Callithrix jacchus: one gene and its partners. The protein of the gene in region 1 binds, or shares a complex with, the protein of each later gene. Links are inferred from orthologs where the notes say so. Each region holds a gene or a part of one and is shown on either strand. Other genes may lie near its edges.

The links.
Region 2: HNRNPH2 (region 1) and PA2G4 share a complex: the UniProt entries of both Homo sapiens proteins name them as parts of the ribonucleoprotein complex. The link is inferred for Callithrix jacchus from reciprocal best matches to the Homo sapiens genes HNRNPH2 and PA2G4.
Region 3: HNRNPH2 (region 1) and SRSF1 share a complex: the UniProt entries of both Homo sapiens proteins name them as parts of the ribonucleoprotein complex. The link is inferred for Callithrix jacchus from reciprocal best matches to the Homo sapiens genes HNRNPH2 and SRSF1.
Region 4: HNRNPH2 (region 1) and ARVCF share a complex: the UniProt entries of both Homo sapiens proteins name them as parts of the ribonucleoprotein complex. The link is inferred for Callithrix jacchus from reciprocal best matches to the Homo sapiens genes HNRNPH2 and ARVCF.

What each region holds. Positions count from the first base shown.
Region 1 is NC_133524.1:97,711,030-97,718,273, reverse strand, and holds the end of HNRNPH2 (heterogeneous nuclear ribonucleoprotein H2), read right to left. Parts: intron 4,733-7,244; 5' UTR 4,680-4,732; coding exon 3,330-4,679; 3' UTR 2,530-3,329; downstream 1-2,529. UniProt on the Homo sapiens protein: This protein is a component of the heterogeneous nuclear ribonucleoprotein (hnRNP) complexes which provide the substrate for the processing events that pre-mRNAs undergo before becoming functional, translatable mRNAs in the cytoplasm. Binds poly(RG).
Region 2 is NC_133510.1:63,563,934-63,568,202, reverse strand, and holds the start of PA2G4 (proliferation-associated protein 2G4), read left to right. Parts: upstream 1-1,469; 5' UTR 1,470-1,662; coding exon 1,663-1,750; intron 1,751-3,876; coding exon 3,877-4,005; intron 4,006-4,269. UniProt on the Homo sapiens protein: May play a role in a ERBB3-regulated signal transduction pathway. Seems be involved in growth regulation. Acts a corepressor of the androgen receptor (AR) and is regulated by the ERBB3 ligand neuregulin-1/heregulin (HRG).
Region 3 is NC_133506.1:108,329,410-108,333,560, forward strand, and holds the start of SRSF1 (serine/arginine-rich splicing factor 1), read left to right. Parts: upstream 1-1,351; 5' UTR 1,352-1,474; coding exon 1,475-1,668; exon of another isoform or gene 1,669-2,084; coding exon 2,085-2,269; exon of another isoform or gene 2,270-2,634; coding exon 2,635-2,807; exon of another isoform or gene 2,808-3,007; coding exon 3,008-3,194; exon of another isoform or gene 3,195-3,567; coding exon 3,568-3,590; coding exon of another isoform or gene 3,591-3,606; 3' UTR 3,607-4,151. UniProt on the Homo sapiens protein: Plays a role in preventing exon skipping, ensuring the accuracy of splicing and regulating alternative splicing.
Region 4 is NC_133502.1:211,798,184-211,802,202, reverse strand, and holds the start of ARVCF (splicing regulator ARVCF), read left to right. Parts: upstream 1-1,219; 5' UTR 1,220-1,454; intron 1,455-4,019. UniProt on the Homo sapiens protein: Contributes to the regulation of alternative splicing of pre-mRNAs.

The DNA.
Region 1 (7,244 bases):
GCCATGTTACACATGGGATTGTCTCTGTTTTGATTACCTCCTTTAGGGTTGGCTGAGTGAAAGCAGAAATCAATGAATGGGTGGATAACGGAATCCATGCATCCATTAGCCAGTAGTTTCCTGCTGCAGAACCACCCTGAGCAGTTGTTAAAACACAGCTTATTGGCTGGAGAGAGGCTCACACTGGTTATCCCAACACTTTGAGGGGCTGAGACAGGAGAATCTCTTGAGACTAGGAGTTCCAGGCCAGCCTAGGTAACATAGTGAGATCCTGTCTCTACAAAAATAATTTTTAAAAATATCCGGGCTTGGTGGCACTTGCCTGTAGTCCCAGCTATTTGAGAGGATGAGGTGGGAGGATCACTTGAGCCTGGATTTCAAGGCTGCACTGAGCCGAGATCACACCACTGCCCTCCAGCCTGGGGAACAGAGCAAGATCCTGTCTCAGAAAAACACAAAAAGCAAAATACAGTTTGCTGGGCTCCACCCCCACAGTTTCTGATTCACTCGTTGGGGGAAAGGGGGCAGGGGGGTGCGCAAAAAGAATCTGCGTATTGCATGAGGTGTAGGTTCATGCTGTTACTGATCCAGGAACCACACCCTGAGAACCACTAGCAGAAGCCATCCGATACTCTTAGGCCACGATAATTGTGGATGCAAATTTTCTGCCTAATCGTGCCAAGTGGGTGACAAACGCAGATGAAAATAAATCCCCGACTCAGTGTTTTGGGGTGTTGTTGGTGGGCTGCCCGCTCTACTCCCAGCAAACTTTCCTGGATAGTGTTAGATTTGCATGTTGGAGCACAAGTGGTGGTGTGTACACGCATGTGCACACCAGCTGTACTGCTGTCCCTTTGCATACCTCTATTGCTGACCACTGACCTTCTCCAGGTTCTCTCATTTGCTCCTCAGAGACCTTCTGAGTTTTCTTATCCAGCGAAGTAAGCCAACATCTAAGACCACAGGAGCCGTCTATTGTTTCCTGAGATTTGGTGCCATCTAGTGGCTAACTTGAGAATCTTTGCCCAGATCCAGAGAAACTTCTAGAAAATTAACTGAGTAGCCTGGAAAGGCAAAAAACACCTACTTGTTTACCCTCCAAGAAAGGCTTCCTGAAGGACAAGGACTGACTCAACACGATAGGAGTCAAAATGGATTTCTTGCTCTCCTGAGAGCTGTGATAAAAATTAGAAGTCAGCAAAGAATCTCAAATCATGTCCCACTGCACCTTTGGCTTGAATGAGTTTTTGGAATTGATTTTCATTTCCTGAATGAAACGGAGTCGGGTAATACCAACTTGGTATTTGCCTCCCATCTCATTTCTCTGGCCCTCAAGCCGTAAACAGCCCACATAGAGCAATCCAGTTCCCAAGTGGTCAAATCTACAAAGAGATCTGTAGTTCAAGGTACAGCTGGTACTGATCAGAGGGACATCAGGACCTGAAGGTCACTGAGGTGTGGAATTGTTAATAACCACTGTGGTTCAGACAGAAATCTAAGATATCAGCATGATACCACGGGTTCTCAGAATCCTGGGAGGTCTGAGGCATTGTAAATACGTGATTGAGACTTTAATAGAAAATTTAAACTACTTGTTACAGGAACAAAGGGGAGGAAATCAGGGATCATAAAGGAAGCTGCTCCTTAAAGTTGCTGTTTGGGGAACTGTGATGGGTCTCAAAACATGGTCTTGAGACCAGCAGCATCAGCACATTCTCAAGCAACATCCCAAAACTACTGAACTGGAAACTCTAGGGATGCAGCCTATAAATGAATGTTTAAGTAAGCCCTGCAGATGATTCTGATGCACATGAAACTTTGAGAACCACTGGTTTAAGATAAGCTTTAGATGCCCTAAAAAACACCTGGGAGTGTTTAGAGACTCTACTAATAAATTCATGGAAGAGATAATTTATTGCCATAACATAAGCCTGCTTCATTTTTATGTTTTGTTTTCAACACATAATAATTGTAAGCCTACTTCTTTTTTAACATACAAAGGTGCCTTCTAGTTTGTGGTGAAATAAAAAGGATTATTTATTTGCTTTCACTTCTTTGGATTTTAGAGAATACTATATTGGTAAGAACAGTCTCCAAAAGTAGTTCAACAGTCCTGTAGACATGGTAATAAGTTTTTTTTAAAGAAAATGTTCAACTTTAATATTAATCAAAGAAATACAAATTAAAATAGCAAAGATATCATTTCTCAACTAACAAACTGGCAAAGATCAAAAAAACTAACGTACATCAATAAGGAGGGTATGAGGGGGAAAAATAAAACACACAGTCCTCTAGGTAGAAAGATAAAGTACCAGAATCTTTCTGGTAACACAAATCACAAGCCTTAAAAATGGGTATATCCTTGACTCAGCAATCCCATTTCTAGGGATGTATCTTAGAAATAACTAATGATATATGCAACAATGAACATATAAAGATGTAAATATAATTTTTAAATTAAAATTTTTAAGAGGGAATTATAAAATCAGTGTGCCCATATGACAGAACATAATAAAAATCAGAGCAAGATTTTTTCCAGTTTTTAAAAGGAAGATTTATTTAACAAGTTTCACTTAGTACAATACATCTAAATGGAAATCACAATACAAGGAAAGATTTAAACCAAAGCCTCAGAATCTCATACAAACGACACGACCAAACTTCTAAAGTATTGGTATTACATCTTAAAATTGTCCCGTATCCTTTAAAAAAAAAAAAAGTAAAAGTGTACACTCACGTGCCTTACAGAGTATTAAACCAAAAAGCTAGAATTAACAAACATGCCAAATGTTTTCACTTTGAATCGTAGACACAGCTCCTATATTTGAGTTTTACAGAAAAGCATGTTTCTCAACATGCATCCAAAGTTTTCAATGTATTTGTGGTATAAGAGCAACATTTAACATAAGTGAAACTGCATTAACCTAAATAAGCTTACTGCTTAAGTACACTCCTACAACATAACTAACTTGAGAAAAGCTAAAAATCGTTTAAACAGTTATGGTCAATACTGAACTTTGTTATTATGTCCTAGATGAATGTTTCAGTGTTCAAAATTACTGAACTTGAAGTTTCAAAATAATCTCAACTCCCACTTTACAGTAAGCATGAATCACAAGCCTGTAATGCAAAACTGTTAAACTTAACTTTTGTTTTCTTAAAAAAGGAGAAAGATAAAGAAAGAGAAGCTGACCAAGAGTGATCAGTATCAATAATATTTCCCATATGCCAATCATACTGGATATACTAGACATCCCTCCCATTCTATTCAACTCCCATAAATGTACAGCTTTTATATCTAGAGTAGCTGTTTAGTGCTCCTTCTCTACCTAAGCAAGGTTTGACTGATAGTCACTGGAGTTTTCCTGGAGAACTTGGTCATATCCACTCATACTGCTCTGACCACCATAACCACCTCCATAACCACCACTCAGCTGCTGGCTAGCAGGACCGCCATAACTAGACTGGTTGGATAAGCCCATCCCTCCCATCATTTGGCTACCATAAGCGCCACCACTTGCCCCTGCTGTAGAATTCAAAAACAGTTCTACATAGCTGTGATCATAAGCCCCTCCACTTGTTCCTGCAGTAGAATTTAGGAAGAGCTCCACATATCTGTGTTGCATATTAGCCTTGTCTTTTGCCATAGCTGCCACAGCATCTTCATGAGTAGCAAATTCAACATCTGCCTCACCAGTAACTCTGCCATCGGGTCCAATTTCAATATGTACTCTCATGGGATTAAGAGGTGAGAAGAAATTATAAATATCATTCTCAGTGGCTCTGTAAGGTAACCCCCTCATGTGTACACAGTGCCCTGTGGTGCTCTGGAAACTGGACCCACCATCTCCATATCTATGATCAGACATTCCTGAAAAACAGTAATTGAGGTCTCTTCCAAATCTATCTGACCCAAAGCCATATCCATCATTATAGCCACCATAGTCATCATAGCCTCCATACCCTCCACCATAGGCACCACGCCTCATCCTTTCAAACCCAGCTCCTCTGCCAATGCTATTATACCCTCTGCCAGCCCCTGGCCTATCATAGGGACCTGGCCGCTGCATAGCCATGAGCTTTCGAGGGGGATCATAGTGGGTTCGAACTTCAGCTCGGCTACTCTTGAAGATCTCAATGTACCTGTGCCCTATTCTTTCCTTGTGTTTCTTTAAGGCCTTCTCAGCTATCTCCTGCGAAGCAAACTGCACAAAGGCTTCCCCTGTGCTTCGCCCCTGAAAGTCCACTGGCAGTGTCATCCCATTTGGCACAATTTCCAACCCTGAAAAGAACTGAACGATCTCTTCCTTGCTACAGCCAAATGGGAGTCCTCTAAGCCGGACGAAGCCATCGTTGGCAGTATCAGGGCTATTCGGACCTGTATGCTTCAACACCCAATCCATTTCAACACTGTTAGACTTGAATACTTCAACGTATCTGTGTCCCATGGTTTCTCTGTCCTTCTTCAAAGCCAATTTCACTTCCTCTTCAGATTCAAGTTCAACAAATGCTTCGCCACTTGGTCTTCCTTCTCTGGTGTAGATGAAACGAATACCTGATGTGCCATTTTGGATCTTGCAATCAGAGAAGAAGCGCATCACTTCATCAGCTGAGCAGGACCAGGGTAGGCCCCTGACCTTCACCACGAACCCCTCCCTGCCTTCTGTGCTCAGCATCATGGTGACTGTTGGGCTCTTGGTGGCAAGTTTGGCTCAACACAATTTTGGTGTAGCTGGAAAAAAAAAATTAGAAGACTACTGTCATGGAAAAATGCTAATACAGTAAAAGAGAAAAGCAAACTATTAATAGAAAACTCAATTATGCTGACAGCTTTGCTGTAAGACATCTGTATAAACAAAAAAGAATTCACCAAATTTTTAACTCATTCATTTTTTAACAGTTATTTATTCAATGCCTATTACGTGTTGGATACCATTAAAAATTAACAGCAATTGGCCAGGCACCGTGGCTCACATCTGTAATCCCAGCACTTTGGGAGGCCGAGGCAGGTGGATCACCTGAGGTCAGTAGTTTGAGACCAGCCTAGTCAATGTGGTGAAACCTCATCTCTACTAAAGATACAATTAGCTGGGCATAGTGGTGGGCACCTGTAATCCCGGCTACTCAGGAGGCTGAGGCAGGAAAATTGCTTGTACCCAGGAGGCAGAGGTTGCAGTGAGCCAAGATCACACCACTGCGCTCCAGCCTAGGCAACCAGGGCAAAATCCCATCTCAAAAAAAAAAAAAAAAATTAACAGCAACAAATAAATGGGAGATGTCAACAAATAAAAGATGGCTATATCTGAATATATAAACATAAAAAACTTCACTAGATCAAAAGATTAAACAATAATTAAAACACAAAACACAAGTTATATAAGTTCTTTATATAATATCCTTATATAAAAATGTAGGCAAATCAATAAAATCAGGGATATATTTAGGCTTCAGAGATAAATGAAAAAAAGACATTATTGGGAATTCACACATTCATTTTAGAAACATCTTGTAGTTGCCAAGTCCAATACTCGGCTCTAGCATACAAGAATCAATAAGCCCACAAAGGGCTTATGGTCCTACAGGGGGATTGTATGTAATTATTAAAGACATAAATGCAAATAGACATTATAATTGCCATGACCCTCTGGGTGAGGTGTAAGCACAGTATTAAGGAGGGAGCAGTTGATCAGTTCTATTGTTTGGAGGCCAAATGGTTAAATGAAACAGACTAACCTGTCTAGGGATCCATAAACAAAATTTTTTATATTATGATGAAGCACAATCAGGAGAGGGAAAAGCAAGAGAAAAGGCTGGCAAGGCATAGATCAGATCCCAAAGACTTTCATATACAAACACTAAACACCTTTTAAGACTTTTAAACTGGGGAGTATGTGGGGTGACTTCACCAAAACCCTTTCAGGCAGATCACCCTGGCAACAGTGTGGCACTAAAACAGAAGGGGGTTGAGGTGAAACTACTGAGATTAATTAGTTAGAACTCGTCTCTTTCAATGCAAAAGGTCTCAAAAAAAAAACTAGTCTCTTAAAGATATGTTAAAGGAATTGTCTAAGCAACAGGAGTAAAATGGAGAAAAGATATGATCCACACATACTGAAAAAAAGTGGAATCTGTGGGACTTGATAACAGATTAAGTATGGGAGAATATAGGTATAGGAGGATACAGGAGAGTTATCTGGAAATATTCAAATTTCATCAATTTCCAGCAAGTTAAAACCAGAACTAATCCTTATTTTTCACCCATCAAGATAATGGAAATTAAACAGTGACCGTAAATCAGTGCTACCCAGGGTTCACAAACTAATACACTACTAGAGGAGTTACAATTGATATAAACTATTTCCTTTTTGATAAATCCCACTATATTCTGAAAGCAATTTGATAATATGTATGACACCTTTTGACAGCAAATACATTTCAGTTATGTGCCCTAAGGAGATGATATGAAACTCAGACAAAGATTTATGGAGCAATATATTCTATGAAAAGTACTTTATTAAAAAAAACTGGAATATCACATATTTTAAAAGTTACAAAAATATTTAATAACATGAGAAATTACTTATGGTATAACTGTAAGTGACCCAAGAGCACAGCTGCTTTACAATCTCAACTATGTAAAAAATACATGTTTCCATAGCCTTTGACATGGCTAGAATCCTTCCAGGAATCTAGTCAACAGAAATACTTACAAATGTTCCTTGCAGCACTGTTAGTAATGGGGAAAAATGGGGAACCTAAATAGCCATCATTAGAGGAATGGCTGAATGAATTATACTTTATCCTTAAAACAATGCAATGTAGCCATTAAAAAAAAAAAAAAACTATCTGCCCTGACCCAGAAAGATCTCCAAAATATATTAAAGAATATACATAGTATGATTCTACTTATATTAAAAGATTAGCATGCATATATATGTAAATAAATAAAAGATGATGTGGGAGCAAACTCGTTTTTGAGAACAGTGGAGGATAGGGGGAGTGCAGTGGGCTTTTCGATTTTTACCCTATATACTTCTATACAGTTTCATTCTTTAAATTCGCCGTACTTTAAATTCGGGGTTTTTTTTTTTAAGTTAGAAAGAACATATTAGTGGTTACTCTGAGCGATAGGTTTATGGCTTTTCCATGCTATTTTTCCAATTTTTTTATGCAGTCTTAATTTTCTACAGAAATAATTATTTTACTTTAGCAAAAAAGTAACTAATTAAAAATTAAAAACAAAT
Region 2 (4,269 bases), on another chromosome or scaffold:
TTCCTGTGCATGTGCTCTTAACTGTAAGTGCCAAGGAAAACTGATTTAAGTCACAGCCCTTGTAAGGGGCAACGTTTCTTGTCTGCACTGAATCAAGTCTAACCCCAACAGCCACATCCTCCTCATATAGGAAGACATCTCATCTCAGGAAGTGGTGGTGGGGGTAGTCAGAAGGAAAAATAACTGGACATCTTTGTGTAAACCATAACCCACGTGCTGTGAATGATCTTTACTCCTTATCTGAGGGCAGATTCACAAGGATTCCCCCAAGATTCACTTTTAGGAGCCATTCTCATCCCAGCAGTAAGAAGCTTCCAGGTAGGATAGAAAGAAGACCCAGTTTCACGCCTCTGTTCCTTTGGATGGGGAACTGAGGGAAAATATCTGTTGTATCACTGAAATGTTTTGTTTTTATACATGTCTGAATAAAAATGCCAAAGTTTTTTTCAGCTTCCTGTCTGTCAAATGAAAACATTTCATATGTTAGATAGATCTCCTCAGCAGAGGACAGTCACCTTTCTGTCTTCTGACAATGCTACTCCGTCCCATGCAGCTTTCTCTAGTCCTATTATTACTTGTATTTCTTTAGAACAAGCATAGCTTATAGTCCTTTGGGGTTTTAGTAGGAATCTACAAAGCAAAAACAATTGAGAATAACAAAAACAAATAACCCACGTGCTTGGGGACTTATAAAAAGCACTATATACGTGTCCGGTCTCCTTCAGAGGCCAAATACTGAAACCTCTACGTGTTTCTGAATTCATTCTTAGAAAAGTCACCAAATCTTTTTATTTTGTTTTTTCACAGTAAGCGCTCTCAACAAACATCTGTCTTTCTGAACACTTCCCTTAAGTGCTCCATCCAGCCTGTTATTGGAACAATGTCATGTTACTTCTTTAAGGAGTCCAGCCTCTAGATTGGGAGGCCTTTAAATGGATGATCCCTCCGGATTCTGGCTGCCCAGTTAGCCCCTGCTCCCAGCACCCTAGGTCTTCTTCCATCTGTCTGCCTCTCCCTATTCTCCCAGCTTCGCAGGACTACTGGACCGGCTGGGCGGGTTTCGCCAGCCGATCGAGGGATCCAAGGAAGGGCGCACCCCGCTTCCCCGCCCTAGGTGTAGACACTGCCCACCCGCCCCGGCTCCACCCTTGCCTCTAAACCTATTTCCCCGCCGTAGCTCCGCCCCTCTCCCCTCGGCCCGCCCCTCTCTGTTACGGGCTCTCGCTCAGAGTTCTCGGTGGAAGTGGTTTTTCCGGGAGAGACCACGCTTCCCCGCAAGCTCCCCAACGGCTCCGCCTTCCCGCCGGAGCCTGACCCTTCCCAGCGTGCCCGGCAATTCCGGCGTGCGAGGCCCTTGGAGGGCAAGGCCCCTGGGCCTGGCTTAGGAGGGCGAGAGGCAGGCTGGGAATTGTAGTTCTCAAGCCCCCGAGGGCGGCTAGAGGCTGGCGGTGAAGAGGACTAGTTGTCCCAGCGTGCCCTGCGCCTCAGCCCGCGCGCTCGCAGCTTCTCGCTCTCGCCAGCTTGCCCGCTCCCTTGCTTGCTCGCGCTTTCGCTCGCCCTCTCCTCGAGGATCTAGGGGACTCTGACCACAGCCTGAGGCTGGGAACGGGGACAGAGGCGGCGGCTCAGGGGAAACCAGGCTGCAGTGGTGGTGGTAGGAAGATGTCGGGCGAGGACGAGCAGCAGGAGCAAACTATCGCCGAGGACCTGGTCGTGACCAAGTATAAGATGGGGGGCGACATCGCCAACCGTGAGTGCGGCCTCAGGGGTCGGGGAATCAAAGCTGACAGGGAAAGGTGCCAGGCTGGCCCCAAAGGGGCTGGAGAGGAGGGGTCATGCGGAGTGAGCTACCGAGGGGTCCGCACCGGTTCTCTGGGGGCGGCGTGGTGGAAAGACCGGGTGTAGCGCCTGGGACCTGAGTGGCCAGGCCCAGGCTGAAGTCTGTGGACGTGTGGGCCGGCGACTGGGATGAGCGCAGAGAGGGACCCCTGGCAGGCTCCGACCCGAGGCCGTTTGTTAGGAGGCAAGACAGGTTTTCTCCTGTTCCAATCCTTCAGTCCCGATTTCTGCTTCATCTGATTCTGGCAGCGGCGAGGCCACCTCGAAAAGGAAGCGCCCAGCTATTGGCGACAGAAGCCCCCCTCTTGTTTTGTCGATTCTCTGGGGCTTCAGGAGCCGAGCCTCTCGCACGTGTTGCTGGGTCCCCTTGCGGATGGCTGGCCCCCTTCTTCCTCCACTACTGTCCCTGACACCAGCTTCCTTGCCACGTGCTTTGCTGGAGCCTTTCCTTTACTTCAGCTCTTACCCTGGTGGGGGCCCCCTTCTACCCTTGGACCAGCTAAGGGATCCGTTGGAGGGCACTCCGGGAGCTTCTAACCAAAGTCTTGGAGATATATATGGCTTTTCTTGAAGTTACTCATTACTACCACCTTTCCAATCTGTGCAGATAGCCTTAGTTAGCATTCACATTTGTTGTTCTCAGTGACTTGACAACTCAAATGTTTTGGAGTCCCCGTCTTATCCCAACTAGGCAAGCTTGCAAACAGTACTGGAAAAGAGAGGACTGATTTTAGGATTGTCACAAGTCATCTTTATTCAAGCTGTGCTCTGACGATCTCAGCAGTAGCCTGTCACTGTAGGCAGATGTCACTTTCTCTTTTCTCTCTTTCCAATTCGCCTTTCCATTTTACTTAAAACTCAGGGAGATAGAAACTGCTTGTCCGTGGGCTTTTAAATGTTTTTTGGGGTGTGTGTGTGTGTGTGGTTTTTTGGTTTTTGTTGTTGTTGTTTTTTGAGACAGAGTTTCACTCTTGTTGCCCAGGCTGGAGTGCAATGGCGCAGTCTTGGCTCACTGCAACCTCCGCCTCCTGGGTTCAAGCGATTCTCCTGCCTTAGCCTCACAACAGCTGGGATTACTGGAGCATGTCCTTATGCCTAGCTTGTTTTTTGTATTTTTAGTGGAGACCGGGTTTCACCATGTTGGCCAGGCCGGTCTTGAACTCCTGACCTCAGGTATCCGCACACGTTGGCCTCCCAAAGTGCCTGGACTGCAGGTGTGAGCCACTGTGCCCAGCTTTTAAATGGTTTTAACAGCAAAGATGGTGGGGAAGCGGTATTTAGGATGCCTCCGGTCCTGTGGGTGAAAATCTGAGTTTTTACCAGCTTTCAAAGAATCACCAAAACTGAGATTTCAAAAATCAAACCTGTGCACAGTGGACATTTAGTATAGTACCCTGGTTTTTGGTGCCTGTTAGTATTTGAGATAGTAGTTTGAATCAGAAAGTCTCTTTTTTGCAGTTTATAACTTCAGGCCATTGTGATCTCAGATATAAATTTTGTAAATTTGGCCTCACATCTCTTTGAGATAAGCCATGATCCCCTGAAATGAAACCCAGGGACCTTAGGTTAAGCCCCTTTGGCTTATACTCTTGTTTATGAGGAAATAAGTCTACATAGGTTGAGATTCCTAACACCTAATTAGAATGTCTGAGAAAGGAAGGCGGTAACATTTAATAATGCATCAGCTTCGAGTCTGCAATTCTGTCTACCTTCTTGTTGTCCCTGATGCCTATAAATTTCATCTTGTCTTTGCGTGTATGTGGGCATACCTTGGCAAGAACCCTCTAAAGTTCATAACTCTGTCCTGTCACACCAAAGGTAGCATCTTTGGAAAGTCCAAGGCCTTGCCTAGGAAGATGGATTGTATATACCCACTTGTAACGTAATAAGGAAGGGAAGGGAATGTTGTCCTTTCAGCCTCGGGGCAGTAGCACTAGAGAGTATTACAGACTCCTAAGTCCAGCTTCCAGGTATTCCTTGGGTGGTAACTAGACAATAAATACATACAAGGCTGACATGATGGCATTCTGTCCTCAGGGGTACTTCGGTCCTTGGTGGAAGCATCTAGCTCAGGTGTGTCGGTACTGAGCCTGTGTGAGAAAGGTGATGCCATGATTATGGAAGAAACAGGGAAAATCTTCAAAAAAGAAAAGGAAATGAAGAAAGGTAAAAAAAAAAAAAAAAACCTCACTAATTTCCCATTTGACCCTTATTTAGTTCTATATGTTTTATTTTTTTCATTGTAATGATGCAGTCTCCACTCCAGCTCTGGTTGAGATATTTGAAAATTTGGAATGGCAAATGGGATACAAGCAGTTTTCTTCCTAATCCAAACTGATCAAAGCTTAAGCAAGTCCCTGAAAATATCCTTACACTTTTCTGAAGGGCAACAGGGCTCCCAGGAGAAAGCAAGGCAGTAGGCTGATGATT
Region 3 (4,151 bases), on another chromosome or scaffold:
GGATTACAGGCACGTGCCACCATGCCCAGCTCATTTTTTGTATTTTTTAGTAGAGACGGGGTTTCACCATGTTGACTAGGATGGTCTCGATCTCTTGACCTCGTGATCCACCCGCCTCGGCCTCCCAAAGTGCTGGGATTACAGGCGTGAGCCACCGCGATTGGTTTTCACCATGTTGGCCAAGCTGGTCTTGAACTACTGACCTCAATGTGACCCGCCCATCAAAGTGCTGGCGTGAGCTACCACGCCCAGCCTGATTTTAATTTGAATTCATTACCTTAAAAATCCCTGGATTTAACATAAAAAATCTAGATTTTAGACGTCGGAAAAAAATGTAAAATATTATCTCCCAAGACTGCAGGCAAGTAGATCACAGTCCTGAGTAGCAACCGCGGTCTCTAGTGGTTACGGTTCTCACATCCATTTCGCTCCATTTTATTACCTGAGAGGACTGGTAGTTTCAAAACCTGGTATATCAGTAACTTTTAGGGAAAACTGCACACACGCACCCCTTCTTCCTTCTCTTTATTTGAAAGGAAACAACGGAAACAAATTTGCAAATCTTTTGCGCCAGTCCCACGGATAGGCGACTAACAAGAGATACAGAGGTGTGGGTCCCAGAGGCGGTACGGTGTTTTCACCCCTTCCGGATAGCTAGTACGACCTACCCACCGCGACTAAGCACAAGGAGTGCTGAACTAAGCTATGCAAAGTTCTGACCAGAAGGTGGAACGGTACTTAGTGAAGAGGATTTATTTAGGAATCGAAATCGGTTTTGCTAAATTAGACAAATCTCATTGTCTAAGGAGCCACGCCCTGTTCGCAGGAGGAGAGGGAAGACAAACCAACGCCCCAGCTCTCCAATGGCACCTCAGCTCTGAACTAGACGCACTCTACAAGGATGCCTGGGTTTCCGGAGCAACCGCCCGGTCCCTCCCCCTTTGGCCCCGCCCCCGAGACTCCTTCCCGCCAAAGGCCGTTATCGCCGCAGAGCATGGTGGGACAAGGCTCTAGGCTAGGTTTCACCAAGTCCTTTCAAGGCGCCGAGTTGCTTTCAGAGATCCTCATTCCTGGGGAAACTGACTGTCCTTCAAGACCCGACCTGGAAGACTAGCTCCTTTAGAGAGAGTTCTTTATTTAACTTTTACCAAACGGCCACTCTATTCGCAAACCACCCCAAGCCGGGAACGCGGGGGACTTTTTTTCCCCCTTCGTGCGGAGGGTGACGTCGCGCGTGCGTGCGCGCGCGTACGTTGAACGTAGTCTTCGCAGCGCGTGCGTGTTGGGATCGAATCGCTGTTTCCTTCCGCTTCTCTTCCTCTGTCTCCCCCCCCCCCCATATCCGTGCGCCGAACTGATAAAGGCGCCATTTTGGAGGGGCCGCGGGAGACGTGGTGCCGCTGCGGGCTTGCTCTGCCGTGCGCTAGGCTTGGTGGGAAGGCCCGTTCTCGAGTCCACGTTTTTCGTCGCCGCCATGTCGGGAGGTGGTGTGATTCGTGGCCCCGCAGGGAACAACGATTGCCGCATTTACGTGGGTAACTTACCTCCAGACATCCGAACCAAGGACATTGAGGACGTGTTCTACAAATACGGCGCTATCCGCGACATCGATCTCAAGAATCGCCGCGGGGGACCGCCCTTCGCCTTCGTTGAGTTCGAGGACCCGCGGTGAGGCGGCATGGGGCTTGCAGCCTTGAGGAAATAGGTCCGAGTGGTCGGGGAAGACTCCAAGGCCTTAATATAGAGAACGGGAAGGCGGGGGCTCTTAGAGAGGATGGGGCGAGACTGTATCGCCCATGCAGGAGTCGAGTGAGGAGCTGAGTTGGTGTGGCTTCTCTGGCGCCTCGCCTTGGACGTCCCCGGAGCCCATTCGCAGGCTGGAGCGGGAAACTGAGGCGCTGAGGGCTGGTGTAGTGGCTGGGAGCCTGGCGTGTTTCTGGGTGGGGGAGGGGTCATTCCCATTATGCGGCGCATGTGGGCTCTTCCACGTTGGGTGCGCATGTGCGGGGGGTTCGCTGGTTCCCGACTGAGCGATCTTCTCCTCCTGGTCTTTCTCATGCCTTTTACTGTCTACGATCCCGCAGGGACGCGGAAGACGCGGTGTATGGTCGCGACGGCTATGATTACGATGGATATCGTCTGCGGGTGGAGTTTCCTCGAAGCGGCCGTGGAACAGGCCGAGGAGGCGGCGGGGGTGGAGGTGGCGGAGCTCCCCGAGGTCGCTATGGCCCCCCATCCAGGCGGTCTGAAAACAGAGTGGTTGTCTCTGGTAAGTCTACCGGTTGTGTGGTTGATGTGAAGGGACGGAAACTACTTAAAAATTTTCTCTTGCGTGACCGGTTTAACAATTGCAAATTTTTCATGCTAGGTCTTAAATTGCTTTAGTTTTTGGGTGAATTTAATAAACGAGGATTGCTGCTGTGGTGATTTACCAAATTAGGTTGCGGTACTAGATACGAAGATCCGTTACAAATAATTTTGGACTCTGGATTCCAGAATCTTACCAGCTCTTTACCTGGTATCACTTAAGTACAACTATTAAGTATTTTAAAGTACTCTTTGTCCTAATGTACCTTATCAGCTTAACGTGAAATTTAAGATAATTGATACTAAGAAAAAAAATCGCTTTTTCAGGACTGCCTCCAAGTGGAAGTTGGCAGGATTTAAAGGATCACATGCGTGAAGCAGGTGATGTATGTTATGCTGATGTTTACCGAGATGGCACTGGTGTCGTGGAGTTTGTACGGAAAGAAGATATGACCTATGCAGTTCGAAAACTGGATAACACTAAGTTTAGATCCCATGAGGTAGGTTATATGCTTATTCTTTTTTTTGACCAGAATTGGATACAGTGGTCTTAACAGTGGAATTTGAAGGTAAGGATTCAGGCAAGGGTGTCCAAGTAAATTGCCAGATTTCTGGTTTTAGTTACATTGTATTCATTCAGCATGCCTGAAGCTAGGTGAAAGCTTAGATCTTTCAATGGAAAGTTCTGTCTATCCAATAGGGAGAAACTGCCTACATCCGGGTTAAAGTTGATGGGCCCAGAAGTCCAAGTTATGGAAGATCTCGATCTCGAAGCCGTAGTCGTAGCAGAAGCCGTAGCAGAAGCAACAGCAGGAGTCGCAGTTACTCCCCAAGGAGAAGCAGAGGATCACCACGCTATTCTCCCCGTCATAGCAGATCTCGCTCTCGTACATAAGATGATTGGTGACACTTTTTGTAGAACCCATGTTGTATACAGTTTTCCTTTATTCAGTACAATCTTTTCATTTTTTAATTCAAACTGTTTTGTTCAGAATGGGCTAAAGTGTTGAATTGCATTCTTGTAATATCCCTTTGCTCCTAACATCTACATTCCCCTCGTGTCTTCGATAAATTGTATTTTAAGTGATGTCATAGACAGGATTGTTTAAATTTAGTTAACTCCATACTCTTCAGACTGTGATATTGTGTAAATGTCTATTTTGCCCTGATTTGTGTGAACTGGGATGTTGGGGATGTTTATGGTTATCTTACCTGGGGAAGTTCTTATGTTTATCTTGCTTTTCATGTGTCTTTCTGTAGACATATCTGAAGAGATGGATTAAGAATGCTTTGGATTAAGGATTGTGGAGCACATTTCAATCATTTTAGGATTGTCAAAAGGAGGATTGAGGAGGATCAGATCAATAATGGAGGCAATGGTATGACTCCAAGTGCTATTGTCACAGATGAAATTGGCAGTATTGACCTTATACTAAAAGGCAGGGGGGTAAAAATGATTATATACATTTTCCTTAAAACACTTGAATGTTTTATTCAGTTACCTTTAGCTACAATTGCTTTACCTTTTAAACCTTGGCAATTGTGGCAAAATTATGTTGCCCATTTTGTAGCAACTTATTTTGCTCCCTTCCCCCCATTTTTGTTATAATAGGGACTAATGTGGGAAGAACTGGCTAATTTGTCGCAGTGCTTAGTTACAACTGTTAATGTGTGACCTGCTGTTGGTGTACATGTGGGTAGAGGGTGTCTTTAAATCCAACAAGATAGAGTATAATATCAATACTGCTAAATCTGCATGTCCTCTGTGTGACTGATAGAGCGTTGCTATTTCATTTTTTTAAGACAAAATGAAAGCAAAATAATAGAGTTCCAATGTATTGGTG
Region 4 (4,019 bases), on another chromosome or scaffold:
AATATGGGTGGGTAAGACAGGAGTGTCTGGTCACACCCCTCCACCACCCATGAGCATGGTTGTGGGCAGTTTGGTTCCCCAGGTGGCCTTGGGGAATGCAGTGAGCCAAGGACTGGTCATCTTCAGATGCATCCAGGGCAGGAAAGGCTGACAGCATGCATGAGCCAGGGTCACTGGCTAAGAAGTCATCTTAGGACCTCCTGAAAAAAAGAACTGGGCATGAACATCCCTGCTGGTTTCCCCACACTGCAAGGTTAAGCGGAGCTGGCAGAGGGTCATGGTCCCACATGTGTCTCACGTCTGGTGCTCTGAACTTGGCAAGGAAATGCAACCCATGCGAATCTCAACAGGCAGTGAAGCCACGTTCCTTTCTGACTCCAGGTAGGATGGAGACAATGGGACAGCAGTACGGGGCCATAACCGCACAACTCCGCTTCCCCAGACGGAGAGCTTGTGGGATGTGAGGATGCCAGGAGGAGGTGAGGAAGGGCGGCCTCCTGTGGGACCTGCAGGGTGGGACAGGCCCAAGAGGTCTGTACATCCAGGCCTGGTTGGGGAGGTGAGCCCCTGGTTTACCGAGGGGGTCCCTTCCTGCCCTCGGAAATAATGCAGCCCCTACCTCCACCCCCGCCCCGCTGCGGGGTCCCAGGGGCGGTGAGGGTGGGAGAGTCCCCAGGCTCCAGTCAGACGACTGCATTCAAGCAAGTGAGAACCTCTGTGAGCCTGTTTCGCAACTGTAAAATGGGGATCGCAGCAGTACTCTTCCTCGCGGTTTGCATGAAGAACACAATTCGATGTCGACAGGCGGGCGCGGCGCCCAGCGCGCAGAGTAGCAGGCGCTGAAGAAGGATACTGGTGAACTGGGGGTGGTGATGGAGGCTACGCGGCCGGAGTCCCGGGACTGGGCGCCAGCCATGCCAGTCCCTGCTCGGGGCTGGATGGTCGGGGGAATGTTCTCGTAAGTCAGCTGGGAAGGGGCGGCCCGGCGTACCCTGAGGCCGCCGCCGCAGAGAGTCGAGCAGGTGCCGGGGCCTCTGCCCCTCCGAGAGGGGGCCGGTCATCCGCCGGGACTGACACCCCGGAGGCCCAATGGCAAGCCGTCATCTTTGCGCACCCGTCCAATCGGCGCCTATTGCCGTGCCGCGCCGGGTCTCTCGACCAATGGGAAAATTTGCGGTTGGATGGGGCGGGGCGAAGATCCGTGTCGCCGGCCCGGTTCGCTTTGCACACGGGCCGCGTGAGGGCGGGAGGGCTGGCCCGGGGTCTCGGCCTGCGCTCTGGGCCCGGAGGGAGGGGGCGGCCCCGCACCGGTTCCCGCACCTGCCCGAGTTGCGGCCTCGGGGACGGTGACCCGCGCCGTGCCTGGGAACGCCGCTCCCTTCGCGCTGAGGGACCCGGGGACGCCCGTCTGGGGACTGGGGCCGCGCTGCGGAGCCGCCCACGCTGCGCTCCAGGTAAGCTCGAGCCAGTGGGCGGGGTGCCGGGCTCGAGGCTGGGACCGCAGGTCAGAGCCCGGACTGGGGGCGGGGCCGTAGATCTGGGCCGCGTTCCCGGCAGCGGTCCGGACTGGGTCCTGTCCCCGGAGTCGAGATCCGGGCGAGGATCTGGGCCCGGCGTTGGAGCCCGTCTCCGCCCCATCCGCGTCTTGCCCGAGCGCGCTGCGGCGCCTGAGACCCCGGGCCGGCGGAGGCGGGTCCCTTTGTGCGCGGCCTCGGGGCCCTACGGGACCCGGCCCGGCGCCTCGCACCGCGCGCCTCAGCTGAACGCGGCCCGACACCGCAGCCTTGTCAGCCCGGCGCGACGCCTGGCACCTAGCTGCCAGGGCTCCGCAGCCACGGAAACTTTCCAACGGCCCGAGGGGCGGCAGGCCGGGAACTTTCCTGGGGCAGCGGGACGCCGGGAAGCGCAGAGGCACCGACGGCCTGGAGGGATGTCCCTGCACCGCGCTGCTCCCGCCGCCTAGGGGGCGAGCTAGGACACGCCACCCGGATCCCCGGCCTGGGTCCCCTTCCCCACGTCGCCCTGCGCCCCCTCGGGGCCCGTGCAGAGACAAGTCTTCTCTATTCTGATGGATCCTCAATTCAGTTTGCTCTAGAGTCGCCCTGGGCAGGTCGCCTGAGATCTCCAGCCTTTCATTTTAAATTTTAAATAATTAAATATTGTTTGCTTACAATATTTCACTGTTTCTTAGCTATGTGTAACGTAACGTACTGAAAATGGAACTAAGGGACTTCAGCTCCCTTTCTCTGCACATCCAGGCATATTTAGAAATAAGGAAAAGAAAGATGCCCTGTGGGTATGTTTTAGAGTAGGCTCTTAACGCTGTGTCTGATAACCTCAAGCGGGTACCCAGGCTGTTGTGGGGAAACCTCCACCTCTCCCGACCCCAGCTTTTCTGGGGTAGCTGCCTTTCCTTCTTCCCACTTCATTACTACTGCCTTATTTGTCTTTACTCTGGGGTCCAAGCTGTGGTTAGAGGTCCGGTCCAAACAGGACGGGTGCTACCTGTCTTGTACTCACTGTGTTGGAGCTGGGATGGTGCTGAATGCAGGGGGCAGTCAGTGCTCTCTTGCCCAGTGTGCCATGTCAGTAGTTGGTTAGTTCCTGAGCAGGTGATCCTGGCCCTAGGTCAGGCCACAGTGTGAGCCATGGTGTGTCTGGGAAGGCCTACACTTTACTCCCAATCTTGCTTCATCCTGTCCACAGTGTCTGCTCCTGCTGTCCCCTGACCTCACCCCACTCTCATTCTGGGGTCCACTAGGGCCCAGTAGAGGACTGGGCATAGAACATTCGCTGAGGAACTCAAGTCCCAGCTGAGAGGGTCGTTGAGCACAGCCAAGCCAGCCCCTGCCCAGCTCTTGGCCAAGCTGCCCTGTCAGGCTTTTCTGCATAAACATGAGGAACTCCTGACCAAGGTCCCTCCTGGGTGAACAAGGTCAGGCCATCAGCCCTCCTAAATTCGAGCTTCCCCCACCACATCTGGGCTGCTTGGCTCCCATGTTCGCTCTGGCACCCCCTCCAGAGGTGGCCTTGCAGTCTCCTCCCAGTCCCAGGGGCCTCTCTGCATCTCTGTGGCTCTGTGGGGGTAGGTAGGGTAGCATCCCTCTTCCTGTTTATGCTACACAGGGTGAATTCACTGTGTTCCTTCACCCCAGGAGTCTGGCCTGAGGTAGCATGAGGCTGTCCTGAGTGAGGACAGGAGGAGCAGGGGCAGCAGGATCCCCAGTCTCTGTGCATGGATGCCAGGCACCACCCTCTGTCTACCCCATCTGTTGTGTTCCCCGCCTGGCCCTGGCAGAGGGAGGGACAGGGTAGAGCTGGGATAGGGAGTCAGGGCCCACTCTGTAGATAGGGCTGGGAATGGAGGGTGGGGGTCCCGGCACAGCTCTGCACTGCAGGGCACTAGGTGGGCCTCAGGGGTGTTGGGGACTTCCCTAACGGTGGCTTAGTCAGGCAAAGCATCTGTTATTTTGCCACCAGCTTTCAATCAAGATCAGTGAGGCTGGGTGCAGTGGCTCACACTTGTAATCCCAGCACTTTGGGAGGCCAAGGAGGGTGGATCATCTGAGGTCTGGAGTTTGACACTACCCTGGCCAACATGGCAAAACCCCGTCTCTACTAAAAATACAAAACTTAGCTGGGTGTGGTGGCACATGCCTGTAACCCTAGCTACTCAGGAGACCGAGGCAGGAGAACTGATTGAACTGTGGAGACGGGGTTGCAGTGAACTGAGATTGCACCACTACACTCCCACCTGGGCAATAGAGTGAGACTCTGTCTCAATAAAACAAACCAGGATGGGCCGGTCGTAGTGTCTCACACCTGTCATCCCAGCACTTTGGGAGACCTAGGCGGGCAGATCACCTGAGGTCAGTACTTTGAGACCAGCCTGACCAACATGGTGAAACCCTGTTTCTACTAAAAATAAAAAAAAAATTAGCTGGGCCTGGTGGTGCATGCCTGTAATCCCAGCTACTGGGGAGACTGAGGCAGGAGAATCACCTGAACCCAGGAGACAG